Arabidopsis thaliana: one gene and its partners. The protein of the gene in region 1 purifies or fractionates together with the protein of each later gene. This does not show direct contact. Each region holds a gene or a part of one and is shown on either strand. Other genes may lie near its edges.

The links.
Region 2: the proteins of PAB1 (region 1) and CSY1 fractionate together in Arabidopsis thaliana (co-fractionation; one large-scale study listed by BioGRID). This does not show direct contact.
Region 3: the proteins of PAB1 (region 1) and CSY3 fractionate together in Arabidopsis thaliana (co-fractionation; one large-scale study listed by BioGRID). This does not show direct contact.

The regions. Positions count from the first base shown.
Region 1 is NC_003070.9:12,432,856-12,439,186, forward strand, and holds PAB1 (poly(A) binding protein 1), read right to left. Parts: upstream 1,881-6,331; coding exon 1,122-1,880; intron 1,052-1,121; coding exon 974-1,051; intron 888-973; coding exon 501-887; downstream 1-500. Other genes in the region: STT3B (staurosporin and temperature sensitive 3-like b), read left to right, coding at 1-130; AT1G34150 (Pseudouridine synthase family protein), read left to right, coding at 3,231-3,329, 3,564-3,623, 3,703-3,848, 3,931-3,976, 4,064-4,174, 4,408-4,489, 4,577-4,673, 4,804-4,864 and 6 more.
Region 2 is NC_003074.8:21,718,914-21,727,232, forward strand, and holds CSY1 (citrate synthase 1), read right to left. Parts: upstream 4,878-8,319; 5' UTR 4,814-4,877; coding exon 4,577-4,813; intron 4,455-4,576; coding exon 4,274-4,454; intron 4,112-4,273; coding exon 4,026-4,111; intron 3,952-4,025; coding exon 3,847-3,951; intron 3,773-3,846; coding exon 3,710-3,772; intron 3,636-3,709; coding exon 3,526-3,635; intron 3,440-3,525; coding exon 3,320-3,439; intron 3,236-3,319; coding exon 3,086-3,235; intron 3,011-3,085; coding exon 2,890-3,010; intron 2,790-2,889; coding exon 2,692-2,789; intron 2,579-2,691; coding exon 2,467-2,578; intron 2,213-2,466; coding exon 2,153-2,212; 3' UTR 1,860-2,152; downstream 1-1,859. Other genes in the region: AT3G58730 (vacuolar ATP synthase subunit D (VATD) / V-ATPase D subunit / vacuolar proton pump D subunit (VATPD)), read right to left, coding at 1-367; CSY2 (citrate synthase 2), read right to left, coding at 5,651-5,791, 5,866-5,989, 6,085-6,182, 6,293-6,413, 6,505-6,654, 6,733-6,852, 7,011-7,120, 7,210-7,272 and 4 more.
Region 3 is NC_003071.7:17,800,982-17,809,244, forward strand, and holds CSY3 (citrate synthase 3), read right to left. Parts: upstream 5,093-8,263; 5' UTR 5,011-5,092; coding exon 4,780-5,010; intron 4,691-4,779; coding exon 4,510-4,690; intron 4,408-4,509; coding exon 4,322-4,407; intron 4,115-4,321; coding exon 4,010-4,114; intron 3,894-4,009; coding exon 3,831-3,893; intron 3,711-3,830; coding exon 3,601-3,710; exon of another isoform or gene 3,450-3,600; coding exon 3,330-3,449; intron 3,259-3,329; coding exon 3,183-3,258; intron 3,089-3,182; coding exon 3,015-3,088; intron 2,926-3,014; coding exon 2,805-2,925; intron 2,690-2,804; coding exon 2,592-2,689; intron 2,511-2,591; coding exon 2,387-2,510; intron 2,292-2,386; coding exon 2,151-2,291; 3' UTR 1,860-2,150; downstream 1-1,859. Other genes in the region: AT2G42780 (transcription elongation factor B polypeptide), read left to right, coding at 56-232, 337-477, 556-634, 759-821, 969-1,047, 1,144-1,200, 1,291-1,410, 1,500-1,665; RLP29 (receptor like protein 29), read right to left, coding at 7,176-8,263. UniProt on the Arabidopsis thaliana protein: Peroxisomal citrate synthase required for the fatty acid respiration in seedlings, citrate being exported from peroxisomes into mitochondria during respiration of triacylglycerol (TAG).

The DNA of each region.
Region 1 (6,331 bases):
GTATGATAGAGCAAGAGGAGTGGAGATAGGGAACAAAGATATCAAACTTGAACACTTAGAAGAAGCTTACACAACATCCAACTGGATAGTTCGTATTTACAGAGTTAAACCTCCTACAAATAGGTTGTGATGCTTCAATGTTACCAAAATGGTTTTAGATAGTTGATAGTTTTGAGGAGGAACCACAATTTCGGATTTTCTTGGATATGGTTTTATTTTGATGCAGAGACATTTTTTGTAGTTTTTCCATCACTTAAGTTGAAACCTATTTGCATTGGTTTTTTCGTCTACTTTTAAAACAAGTTCTGTAATTTAATCTTGGTTTGATCAAGCTCAAAGTAAACATGAATGTTGAAAAGTAGAGACACAAGAAACATAAACCGTATTCAAACCAACGAGAATATCGTAAATGAAAACCTAACATGACTTAACTTAATAAAAGAAGACTATCAATCCAACCAGTTCGCTTTTGGAAGCATAATGTTAATTCCTAAAAGCTACTAAAATCTACGGTATGGGTTCCATAGATTTGGTTGCAGTAGTGGCTGTGGCAAACTACCGTAGAGGCCGACAAGCGGAGCAGGTGGATATAGTGTTGGACGAAATGGTTGTGGCACCATGAAATTAGGGATAGAGATTGGAGGGCAACTGTTTGGCATTCTTGATCCGCACATAGAATATGGTTGGAAGTTGTATCCTCTTAATGGAGTTTGTTGAGATAACATTGTTGCCGGAGCGACCACTTGACTGAAGATAGGTTGTTGGTGAGGACTTGGTGGTGGGTTATTAAATTGAGTTTGTAAATGAAGCTTATGTTGCTCTTTGCATTGTGCCAAAGAAACATAGATAGGTTTATTTCCCACCATTTTCCCATTCATCTTGAGCATCTGTGTAAGGATAAAAAATTAATTAGTGTGAGTTCCTTGATTAAGAAGGCAACACTAAAAGACCATTACTTGGTTTACAAACTTACCGCTTTCGAAGCTTCTTCGCTCGTTGAGAACTCAACAAACCCAACACCTTTGCTAATACCATTGGAATGGACCATGACCTTCAAAATTCATTAGTTAAATTTATTATTCGTCGTAGTCACAAATCAATCTTTTGCTATTGCATGCGTACTTGCAAGAAGTGATGGTCCCAAACTCTGAGAATAATTCTTCAAGCTTTGTGTTATCAACAGAATCATCAAGATTCTTCACATAAAGATTCATCCCTTTACGTGTTTTCATATCCCGTATTATCTTTTCTAGTTCAAATTTAGCTTTCAAATCCTCAGTTCTATTAGTTTTCCTCTGAGCTCTTCCAACATGCAACTCCTTTTCATCAACTACTACCCCGTTCATCTTCTCTATCGCAGTAACCGCGGCCTCAGCCTTCTCGAAGTTCACAAACCCGAACCTTCTAGACTTACCTTCTCCATCTTTCATCACCACCGCGCTAGTTATCTCCCCAAACTCCCCAAAGAGCCTCTTCAAATCAGCATCCGTCGCAGTCTCCACCAAGTTTTTAACATAAACATTAGTGAAAACCCGAGATTTATCCCATTGACCACGGCTAACGAATGGACAAACATGAATATGTTGATTGCGGATGAGCGTGCCATTGTGAAAATTGCATGCGGTGTAGACTGAAAGGTCTGAGTAAAACTGGACGAACCCATATCCTTTGGAAACTCCAGAAGCATCACGAGCCACTTTGCAAGAGAGAACTTTGCCAAATGCAGAGAACATATCGCAAAGTTGCTTGTTGTCGATAGATTCGTCTAGATTCTTGACAAACACGTTACCTCGTCCACTCATTCTGTTGCTAGGATCACGTTCTGAAAACATTATCCTCATAGGTTTTCCCTTTAACTTACAATAATTCAGCACCTCCATTGCAGTCTTCGCTGTTTTTCCCCACGAAAAAATAAATAAATCAAACCAATTAACATTCAAATTCGTTAAAGAAAAATCGACATAATTTAAATCGAAACAAATACACGTGTGCCTAAATAATACTAACAAAAAAAAACTAAAAAGTGTTTTAGATTAGGGAACAATCATTGAAAGTAAACTATTTCCTCAACGTAACGACTAAACCCTAGAAACAAGCAACATGATGAAACAATTAATATAGACGAACATATAGAATATTACGACTTACCTTGAGAACTATGGTTGAAATTAACATATCCATAACCAAGAGACAAGCCAGTGTTTCGGTCGCAACAAACTTTCACTGAAGAAATATCATGAGTGAACTCACTGAATTTGGTGTATAAGTCACCCTCTTCGACACTCGAATCAAGATCTCCTATATATAATGTATGCTTCTCAAATTTGTTCTCTGAGGTTCTTATAGTTGAAACACGTCTTTGTTCTCTGATAATTTTTTTTAAGTATATATCTGGTTCTAAAGTCATATATATTAAAAAAAAGAAAAAAAAAAAGTCAATTCCTTACTAGGATTAGCTTTTTATTTTTCTACTAAGATAATATTAATAATTTCTAATATCAAATAAAAAAATTAAAGATAAGCTTTAACTATTTCGATAAGCTTAAAGAAATAAGAAAAGTTAACCTCCTCTCACAGTGAGTGCCGGTTTAAGTACAACGATGAATAATGCGATCATTCTATATATGAGAAATTGTTTTTTTTCTGTATAAAAAGAGCACAAATTGTTTTCTTTTTGTATATATAAAAGAGACACACAAAAAAAATTATACATACAAAAAGAGAATAAAATATTTTCTTTTCAAAATTTGTCTTAGGGCACATGAAATATATGAGCTGGTACTGCTCACACTTGGCAACAGATTCGTACCGTTAGATCATAAATATAAATTTGAAACATATGTAGATCGTCAACTTATTTGGTTAAACATTAATTTTAACTACAAAGTATAATCGTAAACTTGTTTTGTATTTTATTCAATTCAGAAATTAATAAATAGATCGTCAAAAACATTATTATCTTTAAGAAAAAAAAAACAATAACATAAGAGGGTTTTCAGAGAAATATGAATAACTATAGTGACTAATATGTAAATAGAGAAACATATGTAGACTCTTGACTAATCCCAACACAGTTTCTCTTCGACGCCGCGTTTTGTCCCCGTCGTTGAACTCTTTTCAACCGGCGTCGAATCTCGTTTCGTCGCCGTCTCGTTGGCTCTTTTCACCGGCGTCGAATCTCGTTTCGTCGCCGTCATTCGTGTATCCATCTTAAAATTCGAGGCTGATTCATGACTATCTCCGACGCAAAATCCGATCCCGGCGGCGATGACCGAGACTCTGAAATCGCCAAAGAAACAGAACTAGTGTTTCTCCGTAATCGCGTCAAGGTAAAAATCTCCGTACGACTTGTCATCTTCTTAGCTTCTTCAACGTCTCTGTAGTCTCTTCGCTCAATGTTTGTGCCCTTCGTTGTTAAGCATTTTGTTAGTGGAACGATTCGATTACACATTGCTTAAAGGTTGAGTTTGAAACTATGTTGAATCTTCGGTTAATTCTCCTGTAGAAACGTTAGATAGTGAAGTTGTTGATTGTTTCATTGTTTGTTCTATATCTCTCATCAGGAGTTAGAAGTGGAAAATGCTAAATTGTTGTCTCAGGTTTCAAGCTGCCAATGCCAACAGGTGAAGATATACTTAACTTTTGATTGACTTCACATTGTTTCGTTTGAAATTGTCAAGAATCTCGGTGTTTTTGTTGTAGATGGAAGTGAAGCATGATCGGTCATTGTCAGATTCCAGTAGCTTAGTTAGGAGAAGGAGAGTTAGAAAAGGAGATAAGAATAGTATACCGAGTCATCTTATCTCAAAGAGATATGTTGCACTCAAAATCATGTATTTTGGTAAGAGGTATGTTTTTTGGATTGCTTCTCTTCTTCATGTTATGTCATTGTTCCTAATCGTATGAATGAATGAATTTTTGTTGTTACAGATTTTATGGATTTTCGGCTGAAGCACAAATGGAACCAAGTATTGAGGTGTGTTTTTGTTCTCTTTGTTTTGTTTGTTAACTAGTAATAACTAATTTGTATTTACATGATGAGTAATTTGTGTGTTTCCTGCAGTCAGAAGTTTTTAAAGCACTTGAAAGGACACGGCTTTTAGTTGGGGACAAGAAAGATTCTTGTTACTCGAGATGTGGGAGAACAGATAAAGGTGTTTCCTCCACAGGGCAGGTGGCTTGCTTGGGCCTCTCTTGATCTCTAGCATTTTACTCGCAATAGTTTCTTTCGATCTCACTGGTTGTGTGCCAATGATATAACTACTCATATGATCTCATCAGTTTAAGAACCAATTTCTCATTGTGCTGATGTTTTTCCAAAACCCTGTAATGGGAGCATTCCCAAATGTCTATAAGGTAGGCTCGTGGAAGAAGCGATCTCTTATGTCTATTCGATTGTTGATGCAGGTGATTGCTTTGTTTTTAAGATCCAGACTGAAGTCACCTCCTGGAGACTCTAAAGCCCAAGTGAATGGGAGAACGGGTGAAAGTAAGTTTACTCTGGGAATGTAATTCATTTTGGTGGTTTTCACCCTCTTAATGTTGTTGCTGTAACTCTCTGATTTCTCTGGTTTAGGACCAGAATATGATTATGTAAGAGTTCTAAATCGTGCTCTCCCTGATGACATCCGAGTTATTGGATGGTCTCCTGCTCCTATCGACTTTCATGCAAGGTTTGTGTTTTCCCGTTTTTTTTTGTAATCCTTCGTTGTTGTTTGTGCTATTCCGCCCTGACTGCAGAATACGTTGTGAACTAGTATTGGATACTGGATGCTTACCTTTTTTTTGTTTCCTTGGGTACAGGTTTAGTTGCTATGCTAGAGAATACAAATATTTTTTCTGGAGGCAGAACCTGAATCTTTCGGTGCAGTGATCTTTACACTTGTTAATAAAGTCAAAATACTCCACAATTGAAACAATATAGAAGTTAATTTTTATTCGCATCTTCCTCTAGGCCATGGACTTTGCCGGGAAGAAGTTCATTGGGGAGCATGATTTCAGAAACTTCTGCAAGATGGATGTGGCAAATGTACATTGCTATACACGGCGTGTTACTTTCTTTGAAGTCTCCCCTTGTCAAAATAGGTTGGCTTTGGTAAAAGGCACATTTAAGCTGATCTTCTGATCCTCTTTTGATGACCGCTGACTACATTAGTATTCTTTGAACTGATTTTGGATCCTATAAAGGCTTAGGTCAACTAAGATTCTTGCTTAAAACCGTAGGATTGTTCAGGTTCTAATGGTAGACCACTAGTAATATAGGGTTATGACTAATACAATTGTAAAAAATTAAGGGTAGACAAAATCATGTTCTAGGAACAATAGAAATTGCGCATCCTATTGAGCACAATGGCACCCATTGTTAAACTCACACCAGTCACTACTTTATATACACACATTCTTCTGATCAATTATCTTTTATTATTTTGTCTTTTGGTTCTAAAACATCTGATCTTCTTGTTTTTCCTTCTTGTGAAGTCATGAGGGTGATCAGCTTTGCACATTTACAATGAGAGGCAGTGCTTTCCTGTGGCACCAGATCCGCTGTATGGTCGCCGTGCTATTCATGATTGGGCAGGGCGTTGAATCAGTTGATGTAAGTCACTTGGAAACCTTCATGTTTGTTCCAGTTTCCAAGCTCAATCCAATCCTTACTTGGGAGGTTTATATATTCATCAAGTGTTGATTTAGGGATGAACTGGCATTTACCCAGGTGATAGATACATTGTTGGACACAAAGAAAACGCCAAGAAAACCTCAATACCTATTGGCCTCAGAGATACCCTTAGTCCTCCGTACATGTGAATTCGAAAATGTTGACTTCATATGTTCTCCAGGTAACAAAGTCTGATTCAGATATCTTGGAAGTGGTTTTAGATTGAGTAGATATGATAATAACAAACCCCTTTTTCATGCCTAAAGGTGCTGCAGAGTCACTGCGGTCTCATTTCAAGAATGAATCATTGACATACCAATTAGAGTCTGTAATTTATCAGGAGGCTCTCCGAAACTGTTTACCTCTAAGCAACAATGGTACGATACATCAGTATTTCCTTTACCCTTTACTGTAAATACTAAATAGTAGTAAGATGACTTCTATGAAAGAGAGAATCAACTCAAAATAAAATTTCAGTTTCAACAGAGGAAAGCTCATGCAATGGCGTAGAAAAAAAGAAGAAAAGGGCAGAACACGTTCCCCTGTTATCTCGACCAACTGAGCGTAAGTCTTCTTCGAAATCTCACTGTAAAATGTACATATGCAAATATTGAAATCTCAAATACATGATCCTCTTGCTTTTTTCTTTTTCTTGCAGCGTCGTATGAAGAACGA
Region 2 (8,319 bases), on another chromosome or scaffold:
AGTCATTCTTGGTCTCACCTTCAGAGAAGTGATCAAACTTAGGCAGCTTCACTCCAGCGATATTCTCTGTCCGAGAACGAACCTTCAAAGTAGCTTCTTTAACGTTCTCGAGGACAACATGTTTGACATTGTCACCAGCAACATACTTTACTTCGGTAAGAGCAAAAGACGATGTCTTCATCATATCTCCCATAGACTCCTTAGCTGTAACGATTTTCTTGAGAAGTGCCCTAAACTGAACAGTTAAAGCATCACTCTTTTTCTTGAGGAGAGCATGACCTCTTGTAGCGCCAACAAGACGAGCTTTCATAACCCCGAGCATAGTAACAGTGGGAACCACATTCAAACGCGCGTTTTGGCCAGCCATATTTCAAAACTACAGCAAATGAAAGAGATGGGATTAAACAAGGACACAAACAGACTTACTCTATTGACAGAAGCCAACAACAGAAGATGATTTTTCGATGATGCGAAACAATACTTGCATCATTGAGGAAAGAGATCAACATGGAAATCTCGTAAATTCTGGTTTACTAATTATAATTGAACAAACACGCAAAGATTCTTAAGTTTCACTAGGAAAATCTTAGGCTAATGAACCAAGCACCCAATCATTATCTCGAACGATCCATACAGAGATTCATCAGATTATCCATTTTTTGTTCCCAGATTGAATCAAAGTCTACGAATTTTCTAATTGAATCAAAGTCTACGACTTTAGGATAGATCGTTTCCCAGAAGATGAAATCTAGATCACAGAACACACCTAATCAATTGGACTCAGAATTGAGCAGTCAGGTTATATGGATACACGCCTAAATTTCCCACCAGATTCAATTGTTTCAAACCAAACTAAGAGAAGAAAAGAGTGAGATTTGGGATTGACATACCTGGGCCTCTCAAAAGGTGAATTCTTAACAAGTAAATCACTGAAATTAGATTGGAAGAAGCCAAAGAGAGAAAGAGAGATAGGAAGACAATGAAAATTGATATTAATTCAGAACTGTCGACAGGGGTAAGAAGATCGTATTCGACCTCGTCGCTGTGATCGTGGAGAAGAAAGAAATGGGCTAATTGTGTAATTAACCGTAAATATAAAGGGCTTATTTTTTACAAATAAAATAAATACGTATACAGCTCATCACGTATGGTGGGGCCTACTTTCGTGTCCTAAATCTGAGACCCATCACTTTCGTCTTTAGACGCGGTGAACTATATATCTCACGTTCTTATTTAGTGCTTAGGACAAAAACAAAACTCGGCCAAATACATTTTTTCATTTCCAAGTTTCAGGGATGAAATCTTGTTGTATAGAGTTTCCAAATGGTTGAGGAGAAAATAATCTCTCATTCAACACTATATTGTATGACATTTTTTTAAAAGGATATGATTTGGTGGTTAACTAATTATTCCGAATCAATGTGTGATATATAAAAAATCTTAGAACTAAAGCAATGTGTTATATTAACTAAAGAAGAATAAGAAGATCTTCTTTTAGAACTTTCCTCACAAAAGGCACAATATCTATCAAAAGTTATGTCTTAATTTCCTATACCAACTTAATTATTAGATGGAATTGATTATAGAACCACTATACTTAAGATATGTTTTAAATCATAAATTTTAAAATAACAGACAAACAAATGAAAAACAAATTCAATAGTATGTAGATTATTGAGTGTTTTAACTATAAGGAGAAAGAAAACAACACACATTGTTGAGAAGACCCTTTTGGTTTTCGTCATTATTGCTGCATATATGTTCAATTACCAATCTCATCTTGATTTGTTGTCTACTATCTTCTTACTGTTTCGGTTATATTTAATTTAGATTTGAACTGTTTTTATCACTTTATGATTATTGTTCAACATCATATTCTTAAAAACATGCTATAATACACAAATATTTTTATTTTATTTTGACAACTTATACATACATAGACACACACACATGTATTACTAACTCGAGGTCGGATGGGGTTTACCCAAACTATATTTTATATAAGCATATATATTCTTTATATATATTTGTATATTCGCTTGGCTTTCCGAGTCAAATTTCATATTAGTAGTATAGGAACGAGACTTGACCCAGCTAACGCCTTCTTGATGCATTCGAAATGGAAACTTGACCCAACTGATCCAAATCCGAATCACAGCTTGGTTCTTTCTCTCACTGTCTCGTAATGCCTTATCCCCGCTCCAGTATAGACCTGTGCCAAAAAAAACTTTTGATCTATTCAAAAACTGCATATATCCATTAAAAATTGTATTACTCATGAGCCAAAAAAAGAAGAAGGTTCAAGTCATTAATATATCCAAGAGTGTATGTATCTATGCATAATGTATAATCTCATGAGCAAAAAAGAAAACTTAATTACTCATTGATCTATCAAAAAGTGTCTTTATTAGCCATGAGCCAATGTTATCTAAACAAAGTCACTTATATATTAAAGGTGTATTTTACCTGTTGGGGTCTCATGATCTTTGTGTCAGGATCATCTAAAGACTCACGCCAGTGTGACAAGTATCCAGCGATACGTGATACTGCGGTGAATGATGATGGGATTCCCATTGCCCTGTGTTTTGGCCCATTTCAGTTACCAACAAAAAAGATTCAAATAAAGAAAGAACTCAATGGTTACAACAACTCATTAGTCAGAATTTGTTAGATAACTAATCAATGTCTTACCTATTGATTAATCCAGAGTAGAAATCAACATTTGGGTACAGCTTTCTCTTAACAAAATATTCATCAGAAAGTGCCGCCTTCTCTAGAGCATCTCCTACCTGAAAACATTATTTATACACCAAATATTTTCTTAAACCAAATTCATCATACATATGAAGGATTCAACAAGGAAACGTGAGCAACAAGAATACAGAGTACCTCAACCAGAGGATCCCTTCCAAGAATGGAGAACACTTCATCCGCCAGTTTCTTAACGACTTTTCCTCTGGGATCGTAGTTTTTGTAAATGCGGTGTCCAAAACCCGACAACCTCCTCTTCCTGGAATAAAAAGAGTTAACATTAATGGAATATTGACCATCACATTCTAGGTATACTCTCTAAGAATTGAGTTACTTATTCTTCACGCTTTCAATGAACTCTGGAATATTTTCAACAGTCCCAATCTCTGATAACATGTTAATCGTAGCCTCAACTGCACCACCATGAAGGGGACCATAAATGGCTCCAACACCTCCCGAAACAGCAGTATACACATCACCACCACTACATAAACAGAGGATTTATGTGCTGATTAAAAAGTATCTCATAGCAGACTCAAATGAATCTCTAACCAATGATAAGTAGTACCTAGAGGAAAGGTGCCTAGCAGCAGCAGTAGAGCAGTTCATTTCATGTTCAGCTTGCAGTATGAAGAGGATGTCCAGCACTCGAGCCAAACGAGGATTAGGCTTGTAAGACCTATCTCCCCTGTAATCAATGGAAGATGAGACTAAACAAGTGCACAGTTTTATGGCTACCATCTCCAAATCAAACAAAGAGGGACAATAACGTACATTGATTCCACCATATAGAGGAAATTCTCTGAATAAGAAAGGTTGCTCAAAGGTTGAACAGGAGGCTTGCCTGCCTTCCTCAAATAAGCAGCTGCTGCAATTGTTGGGGCCTGCAGACACGTTATATTATAATTCATAGTCCGGTTATACATTGAGGCACCAAATCACACAGACAGAACAATACCTGTCCAAGAACACGAACAATCTGTTTATCACGAACTTGTTTTGACTTGTAAACACCTAGGCCCTGCACCAAATGGGGATTTCCATGTCGGCGTGGAAATTTTCAGAAGAAAGCAGGATTATAAAAACGTAACTTACCATAAGAGACGGATTTGCATCAGGATAAAAGATGGAAAGTGCACTCATTGCAGTGACAAGAGCTCCTACTGGATGTACATCATTAGGCATGGACTGTATCATATCCTGTGAAAACATTCAGATAAATCATCTCACCTCGAAGATCTAGAGAAAGTTAGGAAAGAGTAGAAGAAACTCACCAATACTCCTTGTGGCACAGCTGAATTCTGAGAAATCGCAAACTCCCAATCAGCTAGCTGTCTTTGAGAAGGCAGATTCCCATAAACTGCATGCAAAAACAAAAAAAGCAGTAGTAAACTAGAGCACTAAGGGAGACAAAATTTTAAAGAAATACCCACACAAAAGCAAGACTATGAGCTATACAAGATGATCAAGATGATCATAATTAAGCAACAACAATGAGCTATACAAGATGATCAAGACTTACTTAGGAGATAAGTAACCTCTGTATAAGTACTTTTCTCAGCCAACTCCTCAACTGGGTATCCCCGATAACGTAGGATTCCCTCATCTCCATCGATGTAAGAAATCGAAGATCGAACAGGAGCCGTGTTTAAGTAACCAGGATCGTATAAGTTAAGCCCCTTGTCATCCTTCCCTGTCGTTATCTTCACACCAAACATGAAAATCCATTTATACACACTCACACAATATACAAAAAACAATCTATTCGTAGTACTAATGGCCACAATGAAGAAATAACTTCAGCATAAAAACTCATTATATATACCTTCTTGAGATCAACGGTTTTAACGGTACCATGCTCTGAGACTGGGACCTGATATTCATTCCCCGTACGCTCATCGACGATCTTCAAATTTCCTTTAAGCGATCCATGCGGTGCAGCGGTTATGTGAGCCGATGTGCACCATGGTTCGATCGCTGGCAACACCTGATTCGGCTCAGATACTGTCAAGTGCGCATTGAGAACGGCTAATCGAGCTCTAGCTCTCTCCGAAATCTCCATTTGTCACCTCAAAAAGATCACAATTCAAGAAAGGGAAGCGAATAAGAAACCAAGTGGCTGTTGTAGTTCAAAGTGATATATAGGCATGCATGGTTTTATAGTGGGGAAATTTGATAATTTCATTACGTAACACTTTTGTCTTAATACTTTTGTGGGTATGATTGGCGTGAATCTACAGTGTCTTCTTTGTCTTCAATCAGAGTTTTGTGGCTTTTAACCAATTTTAAGTATGTGTCTCTGCGACAGTTATGTATTGTTTTGGTTGCTTCTTACTTCTTTCTGTTAATCAGTGTCAGGTACTCCAGGGTTTGTTATTTAACGTCACTTTTCTTTTATATTTGTTCACACTTCTCACAATTGTTCTCATTTGAAATGGAAATATTATTGGCAATAATGCAAAATGATAGGAAACTTTCAGGCAAATTATAAATACCGTACAAAAAAATATGATATGATGTTCAATGAGTGGTTAGCTTATTGTTATCACTTGGAATCTGCATAACATATTCACCCTAAAAATAACATTCAGTTAATCCTAAATGATATGATTTGGTGGTTGACATTTTCCAAACCAATGTGTTAGACATGTCTTCAGAAATTAACATTAACAGGAATAAAAGCGCAATTTATCAAAAGTACATGTCGTTCCCTATAACAAGATTATTATTATTAAATCATAACATTTTAAAATAACAGACAAACAATAAGAATAGGGTTGTATTATTAAGTGTTTAAGAATAAGAGAAAGAAAACAACACATGTTGTTGAGAAGACTCTCTTGTTTTCCCAGAGGTATCCCAATGTTTTCTTCTTTATTGGTGAGTATTAGGATTGAGACTAAAGGGCAGATGATCCAGCTAAACGCCTTCTTGATGCATTCGAAATGGAAACTTGACCAAACTTATCCTTATCCGAATCACTTGATAACGTTCGTTCTCTCACTGGCTCGTAATGCCTCATCCACACTCCAGTATAGGCCTATATGCAGCCACACAATTCAGTTAGCTCAAACTATAAACCTTTTGATCTATCAAACAAGTTATGTATTTTACCTGTTGGGGTCTCATGATCCTAGTGTCAGGATCATCTAACGACTCACGCCAGTGTGACAAGTATCCAGCCATACGCGGGACTGCGAACAGGACTGTGAAGAATTCTGGTGGGAATCCCATTGCCCTGTGTTTTTCCCCCATTTCAATTACCAACACAAGGTTCAGGTAAAGAACTTAATGGTTACAGGGTCTATGTCAGATGAATCAGCAATGTCTTACCTATAGATTAATCCAGAGTAGAAATCAACATTTGGGTACAGCTTTCTCTTAACAAAATATTCATCAGACAGTGCCGCCTTCTCTAGAGCAACTGCTACCTGAAAACATCATCCGTCAAAACAAAATTTAACCCACAGTCATGTTATATAAGAATTTTTTTGACAACCAAATACTAGGAGAGATACGTGAGCACAAGGATCTACAGTACCTCGATGAGAGGATCCCTACCAACAATGGAGAACACTTCATCTGCCAGTTTTTTTATAACTTTTGCTCGGGGGTCATAGTTTTTGTAAACACGATGTCCAAAACCTGACATCTTCCTCTTTCTGAGAACATAGAAAAGGGATATAACATTACCGGCATGACTCACCACAATTCAGAGTACTTGGTGCTTGTAGTTATTAAGCATTGAGTTACCTGTTCTTCACGCCTTCAATGAAATCTGGAATATTTTCAGCAGTCCCAATCTCTGCTAACATCTTAAGCACGGCCTCGTTCGCGCCACCATGAAGTGGACCATAAAGCGCCCCAACAGCTCCAGCACATGCGGTGTACACATCAACACCACTGCAGAAACACAATACTGATTTAAACACTCAAAGAAGTCTAAATGAATATCTCTAATCAGTGATAACTGATAAGTACCTAGAGGCAAGATGCCGAGCAGCAGCAGTAGAGCAGTTCATTTCATGTTCAGCATGCAGTATGAAGAGGATGTCCAGCACTCGAGCCAAACGAGGATTAGGCTTGTAAGACCTATTGCCCCTGTAATCAATTGAAGATTAAAGAATGTATCCTGTGTTACAGACACGTTTGAAGCTTGAAACAGATTTAAACTGACTAAAGAAACACAGTTTTTCTGACTACCCTTTTAAAATGCAAGTGTTAAATCAAATAAAGACAGAAGAAAGAGGGGAAAGTACATTGAATCCAGCATATAGAGGAAATTCTCTGAATAAGAAAGGTTGGCCGAAGGAAGAACAGGAGGCCTGCCTGCCGTCCTCAAATAAGCAGCTGCTGCAATTGTTGGTGCCTGCAAACACGTTGTAAACCCTTTTTCTAGTCCCGCAACTTATACACAGATACGTTAAGGAAACAAATCATCAACAGATAGAACAATACCTTTCCGAGAATGCGAACAATCTGTTTATCACGAACTTGTTTTGACTTGTAAATGTCTTGGCCCTGCACCCAATGAAAGAAAATCGAGTTGGCATAGCCATTTTCAGAAAAAGGCATCTTGACAGTACGAAAAGAACAGGATTTCAAAACTTACACTAAGAGCAGGATTTGCATCAGGGTGAAAGATAGAAAGTGCACTCATGGCACTCACAAGAACTCCCATTGGGTGTGCATCATGAGGCATGGACTGTATGATATCCTGCAAAAACATTCAGAAATCGTCTCAGATCAAAAATCCATAGAAAATTCTTTTACTAAGCATATACACATAACTATATTCACAACGGCGAGTAAGACATAAGGTACTAATACTAGAAAGAGATCCAGTATCCTTAATAGACATGGTTTACAAGCAAGACAAACAACTTGTACACTTGACAAGAAATCATTTTCAAAATCCCTCTTTGGTTTGGATTTGCATTCTGATACAAAGTTTGGAATTTGCACTAGTATGAAAATCCAAATAACGAAAGAGTAGAAATTTCACCAATACTCCTTGTGGCACAGCTGAATGCTGAGAAACAGTGAACTCCCAATCAGCTAGCTGACTTTGAGAAGGCAGATTTCCATACACTGGAGACAAAAAAAGGGGAATTTTAACACGACACTAAGAGAGACACAATTTTCAAGACATTTTCTTTTCCACAAGTAGACGCCACAAAAGTAAAATAAGCAACAACAACAACAAGAATAAGCAACGAGATTGATAAAGACTTACTGAGGAGATAAGCAACCTCAATAAAAGTACTGCTCTCAGCCAACTCTTCAATTGGGTATCCCCGATAACGTAAGATTCCTTCATCTCCGTCGATGTAACAAATCGAAGATCGAACCGGAGCCGTGTTCAAGTAACCAGGATCGTACAACTTCAGCCCCTTATCATCCTTCCCCGTCGTTATCTGCACACCAAACATGCAAATCCATCAAATTCCTTATCATATTCAGGGAAAATTAGGTGAGACGAATCAAAATTCAGATAAAACTAACTCGATTCCACAATTCTGTTCAGGATTACAAATCCGTTACATACCTTCTTGAGATCAACGGCTT
Region 3 (8,263 bases), on another chromosome or scaffold:
CCTTGTTAATTCATATTTAAAGTGTGTTTTTTCTTGTAGGTTTTGGGAAGCTGCTATGTTATTTGAGAGGCTTACCAAGAAACCACCTTCGCTTGTTGATCTTTGCGTAAGGAAAGCGATTGATAATGTAAAGTACATTGGATATGTTGGTGGGGTTGATTTTCAGCTCCTTGAGCAGATTCTGCAACACTGTACACTAGAACAGCTGAAGCACATAGAGGATGCTACTGACGTAACAAGCTTTTCTCATTATATGGCACGATTAATCTTTTGTATGTTTTGCTGGGGGTTTTTTTAATCGTAAGTTATGCTTTTTCGTTGTTTTTGTTCTGCTAGGACACAGATCTTAGTCCAATCACCGATAAGTTTTGGAAGGGATTCTATAAGAAGCACTATGGAGAAGAGGACATGAAGGATCTTATAGAGGACCTGGAGTGGAATAAAGTAAATGATTTCAAATGGAGGAACTTATATGAGGTTGGTTTTTTTTTCAAGTCTTGATACATATTTAAGTGTTGAAATATTTAAGATATACATGCACATGGTTTCGTGCAGTTGAAGGTTATAGCTGTGCAACAAAAGGAGAAGGAACTTGGTGGTCGACTGAAAGAACGTTACAAGGACGAAAATGAAAGTATAACTTTTTACGAATCTGTCTTTTGTTATGGCCGTTAGCTCAATGATGAGAAGCATGTTCTTTGACCAAAATATTTTCTTCTTTCGTTCCCTTGTAATCGTTTTCAGTTTCCTTTTGTCAGGGAAACAAAGTCGACAAACTAAGGTCTGCTCGAAAGCTCCTCCAAGCAAAAGACCATTTTGGGGTAACACATTTTTTTAATCTAAATGATTTCTTGCAGCATCTGGTCAGATCTTGCCAAAAAACAGTATGCAAATGCTCCATGCATATATTAGTTTTTTTTCCCTCTGGCTTTTGTAATCTAATGGTTATATGGACGATTTTGTTGCAGGTAATAGTGCATCAGGTTACAATCTTGGGCATGTGAAGAGCAACATCATGAAGAAGGCAAAAATAGATCTGTTGAAGAGGTACACTTCAAAGTTGCACAATCACCAGTCTTACTTATAAGGTTTATAGCAACAATCTATTTCTTAATTCAAATCTTCTGATGGTTTTGATTACAGTCAAGAAGTGAAAAATCTTACTGCGATTAAAAGGAACACCATTCAGAAGAGTTTCAGGTATCATCTCCCCAGCATCTATTTAGCTATATCAACCCACATTCGTTATCCCCCAAACCTGATCGGTTTGATTGATCATGTCTTGTCTAGTATTTCTACTCCAAAGAAAACTGGCTTATCTGCGAATTCGCCTTCAACTTCAAGAAGCATTCCTTATGGTGGACGAAATCTTACTGAAACTAAAAAGAACACGATTCAGAAGAGTTTCAGGTAACATGTCCTCAGTATCTATATATCTATATGGATCCACTTCTTTATCCCCCAAACTTGATCGGTTTGACGGATCATGTCTTGTATAGTATATCTGCTCCAAAGAGGACTGGCTTATCCGCTAATGCGCCTTCAACTTCAAGAAGCGTTCCTTCTGGTGGACAAAAGCTACCTCCAAGGAGGATCAACGGCCTTCCTGGGACTGCTCCTTCAACTTCAAAAAATGCAGCCACCAGACAAAAACATGTAATGTAACTTATATAGCTTTTTTACAGATCATTTTTTCTTCGAGTGTATCATTTACATGGCTACTTCAAGTTTCAAGAACTCCGAGTTTTGAAACTCTGGCTTGATGATATCCTAGTTTGTAACAATAGATCTTCAAAAGTTTTTACAATGATTTAATAAAGTGCTTTGTTTTCTACTTGTTGCTTTGGCCGAGATATTTCACAACAAACGTCTCTGCAGAAGCATTCGATATAGAAATTAGAGTAATAATCCATAACCATAAATCATTTTATACAATAAACACGTTCTGATAAGAAGACAAACAAGGCGGACAAACACCCTTAGAAGATGGATTGAAGCAAATATAGATCAAGTCTATATTGTGCCTACAAAATGAGAAATCTAAGTTTCGAGTATGATCAAGTATCTTAGCTTTAGGCTAGAGAAACCAATCTCTTTTATTCTTTGCGGTGTGGTTTGATGTATAGTATGGACCCTAAAAGGGCCTACGTCTAAACTGAAGATCCAGCCAAACGTCTTCTTGATGCATTTGAAGTCGCGACTTGACCCAATTTGTCTGACTCTTTCGAGTCATCCGTCACTATTCTCTCTCTCACTGGTGTGTAATGCCTCAGCCACACGCCTGTGTACACCTGCAACATTTAATATTCCAATGAACCATCCAAGTTTCAAATTGATCCAAAGAAAAATCTTTCTCTTATTATTCTTGGAAAGAGATTAACTATACCTGTTGTGGTCTCATGATCTTGGTGTCAGGATCATCCAGTGACTCTTTCCAATGTGACAAGTATCCAGCCATGCGAGGAATCGCGAATAAGACCGTGAAGAACTCCGGTGGAAATCCCATTGCCCTGTTGTAATGGTCCAAGTTTGCAGATTTAGATGAAGTTGAGAGGAAGTTATGGATACTGCACATGCATTCAAACTTTTACCTGTATATTAATCCAGAGTAGAAGTCAACATTTGGATACAGCTTTCTCTTAACAAAGTAATCGTCAGAGAGAGCTGCCTTCTCAAGTGCAACAGCAACCTGCAGACATCAGAATCAAACACATTGGCTTTAAGGAAACATGAAAAATTACACTAAATCGAAAAGGTGGGCATCAAGTTGTAGTATAAGCTTGAACTTCGTGGACATAGCGTACCTCAATTAGAGGATCCTTTCCAACAATGGAAAATACTTCATCAGCCAGGTTCTTGATGACTTTAGCTCGAGGGTCATAGTTTTTGTACACACGGTGTCCAAAACCAGACATCTTCCTCTTCCTAAGATGTCAAAGGGATGAGAATTTTAATGAAAAGACTTGTCACAAACCTCGGAAACGGAAGCATATAGTTTCAAGAATTGATTTTACCTGTTCTTCACACCCTCAATGAACTCTGGAATATTTTCAACAGTCCCAATCTCTGACAACATCTTAAGCACAGCCTAATGGAACCAAAGACATGAATTTCAAAGACCATGGAGCATGAAAATACATCAGAAGATGTAACATATGAAGACATGAGAATAAATAGCATACCTCGTTTGCACCACCATGAAGTGGACCATAAAGCGCTCCCACAGCTCCAGCAACAGCAGTGTAGACATCAACACCGCTACAAGAAGACATTTCCTAATCAATATATCTCCTATCAAGGTCACTAAGATTCCAACCAAAGATAAGTACCTAGAGGCAAGATGCCGAGCAGCAGCGGTGGAGCAGTTCATTTCATGCTCTGCATGCAGTATGAAGAGGATGTCCAACACCCGAGCCAGCCGAGGATTAGGTTTGTAGGATCTATTTCCCCTGTAAGAAGTGTGTTAATGGCACGCTACAAGTTATGTACACAGTAAAAAAATAACTAGGCTTCAAGTTCTCTGAAGCGTCAAGATCTAAAACTAAATCTAAAAGTTGAGTTTCTAACTAATTCAAGAAGAAAGAGATAGCAGAGACATACAGGGAATCAAGCATATAGAGGAAATTATCTGCATAAGGAAGGTTTCCTGAAGGAAGAACAGGAGGCCTTCCTGCCATCCTCAGATAAGCAGCTGCTGCAATTGTTGGTGCCTGCACAAATCGCAAACACGTTTAGTTGCATCAGATCTTCATGAAATTCAGAGTCCAAATATGTTTATGCGTGACACAATATAGGAAGAAGTAAGGTAACCACTGATAACAAAAAAATACCTTTCCAATAATGCGGATAATTTGTTTATCTCTAACTTGTTTTGAATCGTAAATATCCTGGCCCTGCACCCAATAGAGTATCAGTCAACATGTTTATACGGACAATTTCAAAAGAGCTAAAACTAGCGAGTGACAAGGCCTGACATGTTGTTAGAGAAGTAATATAAGGTTAAACCTACCCTAAGAGCAGGATTAGCATCAGGATGAAAGATGGAAAGCGCACTCATTGCACTCACAAGAACTCCCATTGGGTGTGCATCATGAGGCATAGACTGTATAATATCCTGCACAAAAGTTATCAAGTAAGTGGAGTTAGATATGAGAAATATATAGCTTTGAGTACAGCACACAATCCTCAGAACAACATGTATAGAACAGTCTTGACAAATTATTGTTCGACCAGACAAGAAAATAGGCTACTAGTAAAGAACAGGCTAACTCCATTTTACAAATCGAAATTGAAATCCATCAACCAAGGATTAGAGACTCACTAATACACCTTGTGGCACAGCTGAATGCTGAGAAACTGCAAACTCCCAATCAGATAGCTGACTTTCAGAGGGCAGATTCCCATACACTGCCAGAAAATATAGTAAAGGAGAAAACTTTTCATCAATGTCCAATTCGATACACATAACACTTGAAATTGTGTAGTAAGGTTAAAAGGTAAAACACTTACTGAGAAGATAAGCCACCTCCAGAAAAGTACTGTTCTCAGCCATTTCCTCAATTGGGTAGCCACGGTAACGAAGGATCCCTTCATCTCCATCGATGTAAGAAATCGAAGATCGAACAGGAGCCGTGTTCAAGTAACCTGGATCGTATAACTTAAGCCCCTTGTCTTCCTTCCCCGTCACTATCTGCAAGCCAAACAACACGCAACAAAGCAAATTCTCAGCTCAAAATCCCACAGTGATAGGAAAATGGTCATTTAGAAAAAGGGTTAAACCTTTTTGAAATCAACGGCTTTAACGGTACCATCATCTGAGACCGGAACTTTATAATTTTTTCCGGTGCGTTCGTCGACGATCGTCAGTGTTCCCTTCAAAGATCCAAGCGGTGCGACACTCGTATCCGCCGACGTGCACCATCGCTCGATCGCTGGAGAATCCTGTTTTCCTTCCGATAAATGACCTGAGAGAACAGCTAATCGAGCTCGAACTCTCTCTGATATCTCCATTCAACCAAAATCAAAATTCAAAGAAGGAGAGAAGAAGAAGAAAGGGAGCGAAGAAATTATTAGAAACCATTCTTACTCTTCGTTAATATAACACGTGTCTTATCCCCTGCGGTCAGGAGTATTGAACAGTATCCACGTGTATGCGATCTAACGGATATCTTGATATCCAACGGCGTAAGCCTTATTGACCCAACTTGGACTAACGGTGATGATCTTCTCCATCTCTAAGCTGTCAGAATTATGTGGGACCCACTTATCAGTATTATCTAGTTAGTCAATTGCTTTCCTCGATTTGCTAAATATCAATTCGATTGCTACGCAATGCTGAATGGGCCGAATTGTCTTAATATGGGCTTCTGTATATTCATCTTTAGGCCCAACAGTATACCACTTTTTATTTGGGCCTTTTTTGTTGATACGGCTCGCTTTACCATCGGAACCAACCCAACATTCATTTTTCGAACTATGACTGAAATCTTATTAAAAAAATGAATGTAAAGCTAAATATGGATGTTGCGTTCAAAATAAAACTCATGAGTTTATGGATGTTCTTCATAAATTATAGTTATCATTAATCAAAAGATGGAAAATACAAACGGTTATTTACTCTTTAATGTTAGTGTACGAGGCTATTAATCTTATAAGTTGTATTTATGTATTATATTATGGAGAATGAATAGGTCTAATTACGTTTTAAAAAAAAAGCATGGAGGAAATGAGAGTGAAAGGTATAATAAATGACATGTTAAAAGCGACGGGTCGTATATTTTGATTCGTACCTAAAAATAGAATTCTAAGTTTACCCCACGTGAGGCTCTGAATCTGAGAGTGATAGATTTTTCTTTCCCTCCTTCCGTTTTCAACACATGATGACATGAACAAGGAACTGTTCCTTTTTTTTTTCTTTAAACATTATCTGCAACGGTGATCACTCACTCAATGATATCTTTCATTTATAACTTCACACGTCTATAAATTAAATTTGTTCATAGGATCTACAATAACACAATTAACATCACTTGTGTTTTTAAGTTATTCAAGCAGAGGCATAGTAATTGATAAAAATAGACAACAAGAAAGCATTTGAAACAAAATTACTGTTGTAAACAAAGCTTTTTCACGGTAATGGAATTCCGAAATAAAAATATATAAAAAAGAAAGTGACAGAGGAAATGTGTGAGAGAGGCAAAGGAAATGCAATATTTGCAGGAAGAAAAAAAGCATGAGAAAAAAGTAGGTGTGGATTTAGACACATGACTGACAAATTATATTTTTCTAGTTTCTCCTCTATATGGTGGTTTCTGCGTTTATCATGTTTAAATATATTTAAACCTTTCATTAGTCACATCACATCCCAAAAATGTGTACGATAATAAAAAGATTGTTTATATACCAAAATTAATTGGTTTACTCAATCATCTTTTTAATTTTGGTCATTTGATACGATCAATCATAGGGTGTCCTAACGTTAAGTTCGATGACGCTGCTACCTCTTTTGAGCGTACCATTCAGGGTCCTACTCGGCTACTCCTACATAATGAATTTAGCAAATAGCAGTTTAAAAACAAATTACGTTAGTTGATTAAGATAAATAAATTAGCTTAACACAAATTTGAAATGGTTAGTTGAAACTCAATTAACATTAATTTTTCTAGGTCTTCAATTTAGTTGCATGGTTAGACTTGAATCAGGTTGTGTCGTTTTATCAGACTCACTGCAAACTCTTTGTCCAAACTGCTCCCTTATTTTTGTTTATTACACTCTATGTATGTAAATTTTATAACAGATTTACTAGAAATTTAATTCTTACCCAATAGAAAACAAAAACGTCGTTTCATTTCATTTGTTATTTTCTCTTTTGTATACAAACACATATTTATACACACGGCTATGAAGTTGTTCAGGACCATTATGGATGACTCGAAATAATTTTATTAACAATCATATAAAAATCTGAAAATACTAGTATTATTATTAAACTAAAAAAAAAACACAACATTAACGTACATTGCTTTAATAGGAAACTAATACACATCAAAATCGACTCTATTAATTTATTTCCCTAGAAATCATCGGTCTACTTTGGGAACAAACACAATTCTTCTCTCTTTTTTAGGGATTTGATAAATATTTAATTCTCTGTCTGTTTTGTCTTTATCTCACTCTTAGAGAACCCATCGTTGATGTAAACCTAGAAACAGAGCAAACGGAAACAGAGCATTGGCGAAGAAGCAAGATCTGTAATACCGAGAAGCTTGAGATTTCTTCTTCGATGAATGCACCGATAAACCTCCACCACTACTAACGTTCTTCCCGCATACATCAACCCCGGTCTTGACAACACTAAACTCATCCTCCGGATTCAGACACAATCCTCTGTTCCCGCTCAAATCCAAGTTCTTACCCAACCGTCTTAAGAAACTTGAATCAAACGGAACAACGCCGATCAGTAAGTTCCTGCTGAGATTCAGATGGAAAACGTGTGGCAGAGACTCAAACCCTGATGGGATTTCGCCGGTTAATCTGTTGTTAGCAAGAGACAACGAGCTAAGGTTCGTCAATTTGGTGTAACTCTCCGGGATTACGCCGGAATATCCAGAATTCTCGAGCTGGAGCTCTTGAAGTTTAGGAAGAAACCCTAATTCAACGGGGAGAGCAACGAACATTGGGTTATTATCCATTATGAAGTACTGCAAACTCTGAAGGTTCGAGATTCCTTTTGGAAAAGCTCCCTTTAGTTTGTTGTTGCTCAACGCCATGAAAGACAACGAACGAAGCTTTTCTACACCTTCCGGGATTCTTCCGAAGAGAGAATTTGAGCTCAAGTCGAGTTTCTGAAGCATACCCAGTTGAGAGATCGTTGGAGGGATTGTACCGGTTAAAGAATTGTAGCTTAAATCTAAGCCAACGAGGTTATTTAGATTCCCTAATTGCAGAGGGATTTTACCTGTGAGCTTGTTGTAGCTGAGATCGAGGTGTACGAGGCTTTTCAATGAGAAAATCGCCGGAGGGATATCTCCGGTTAATCGGTTTTGTGAGAGAGTGAGGATTTGTAAAGATTTGAGAGAAGAAATGCGAGGAGGGATTTGACCTGAGAGAGAAGGGTTTGATCTGAGGCTAAGTTGTTGAAGAGAAGAGTTAGGGATGAGTTTTATAGGGAACATGATTGTGGTTGGGAAGTGAGTGAAGCAGTTGAAGAAGAAGACTGATTGGAGAAAAGGGAGAGTGAAGATTGAAGAAGGGAAAGAAGCAG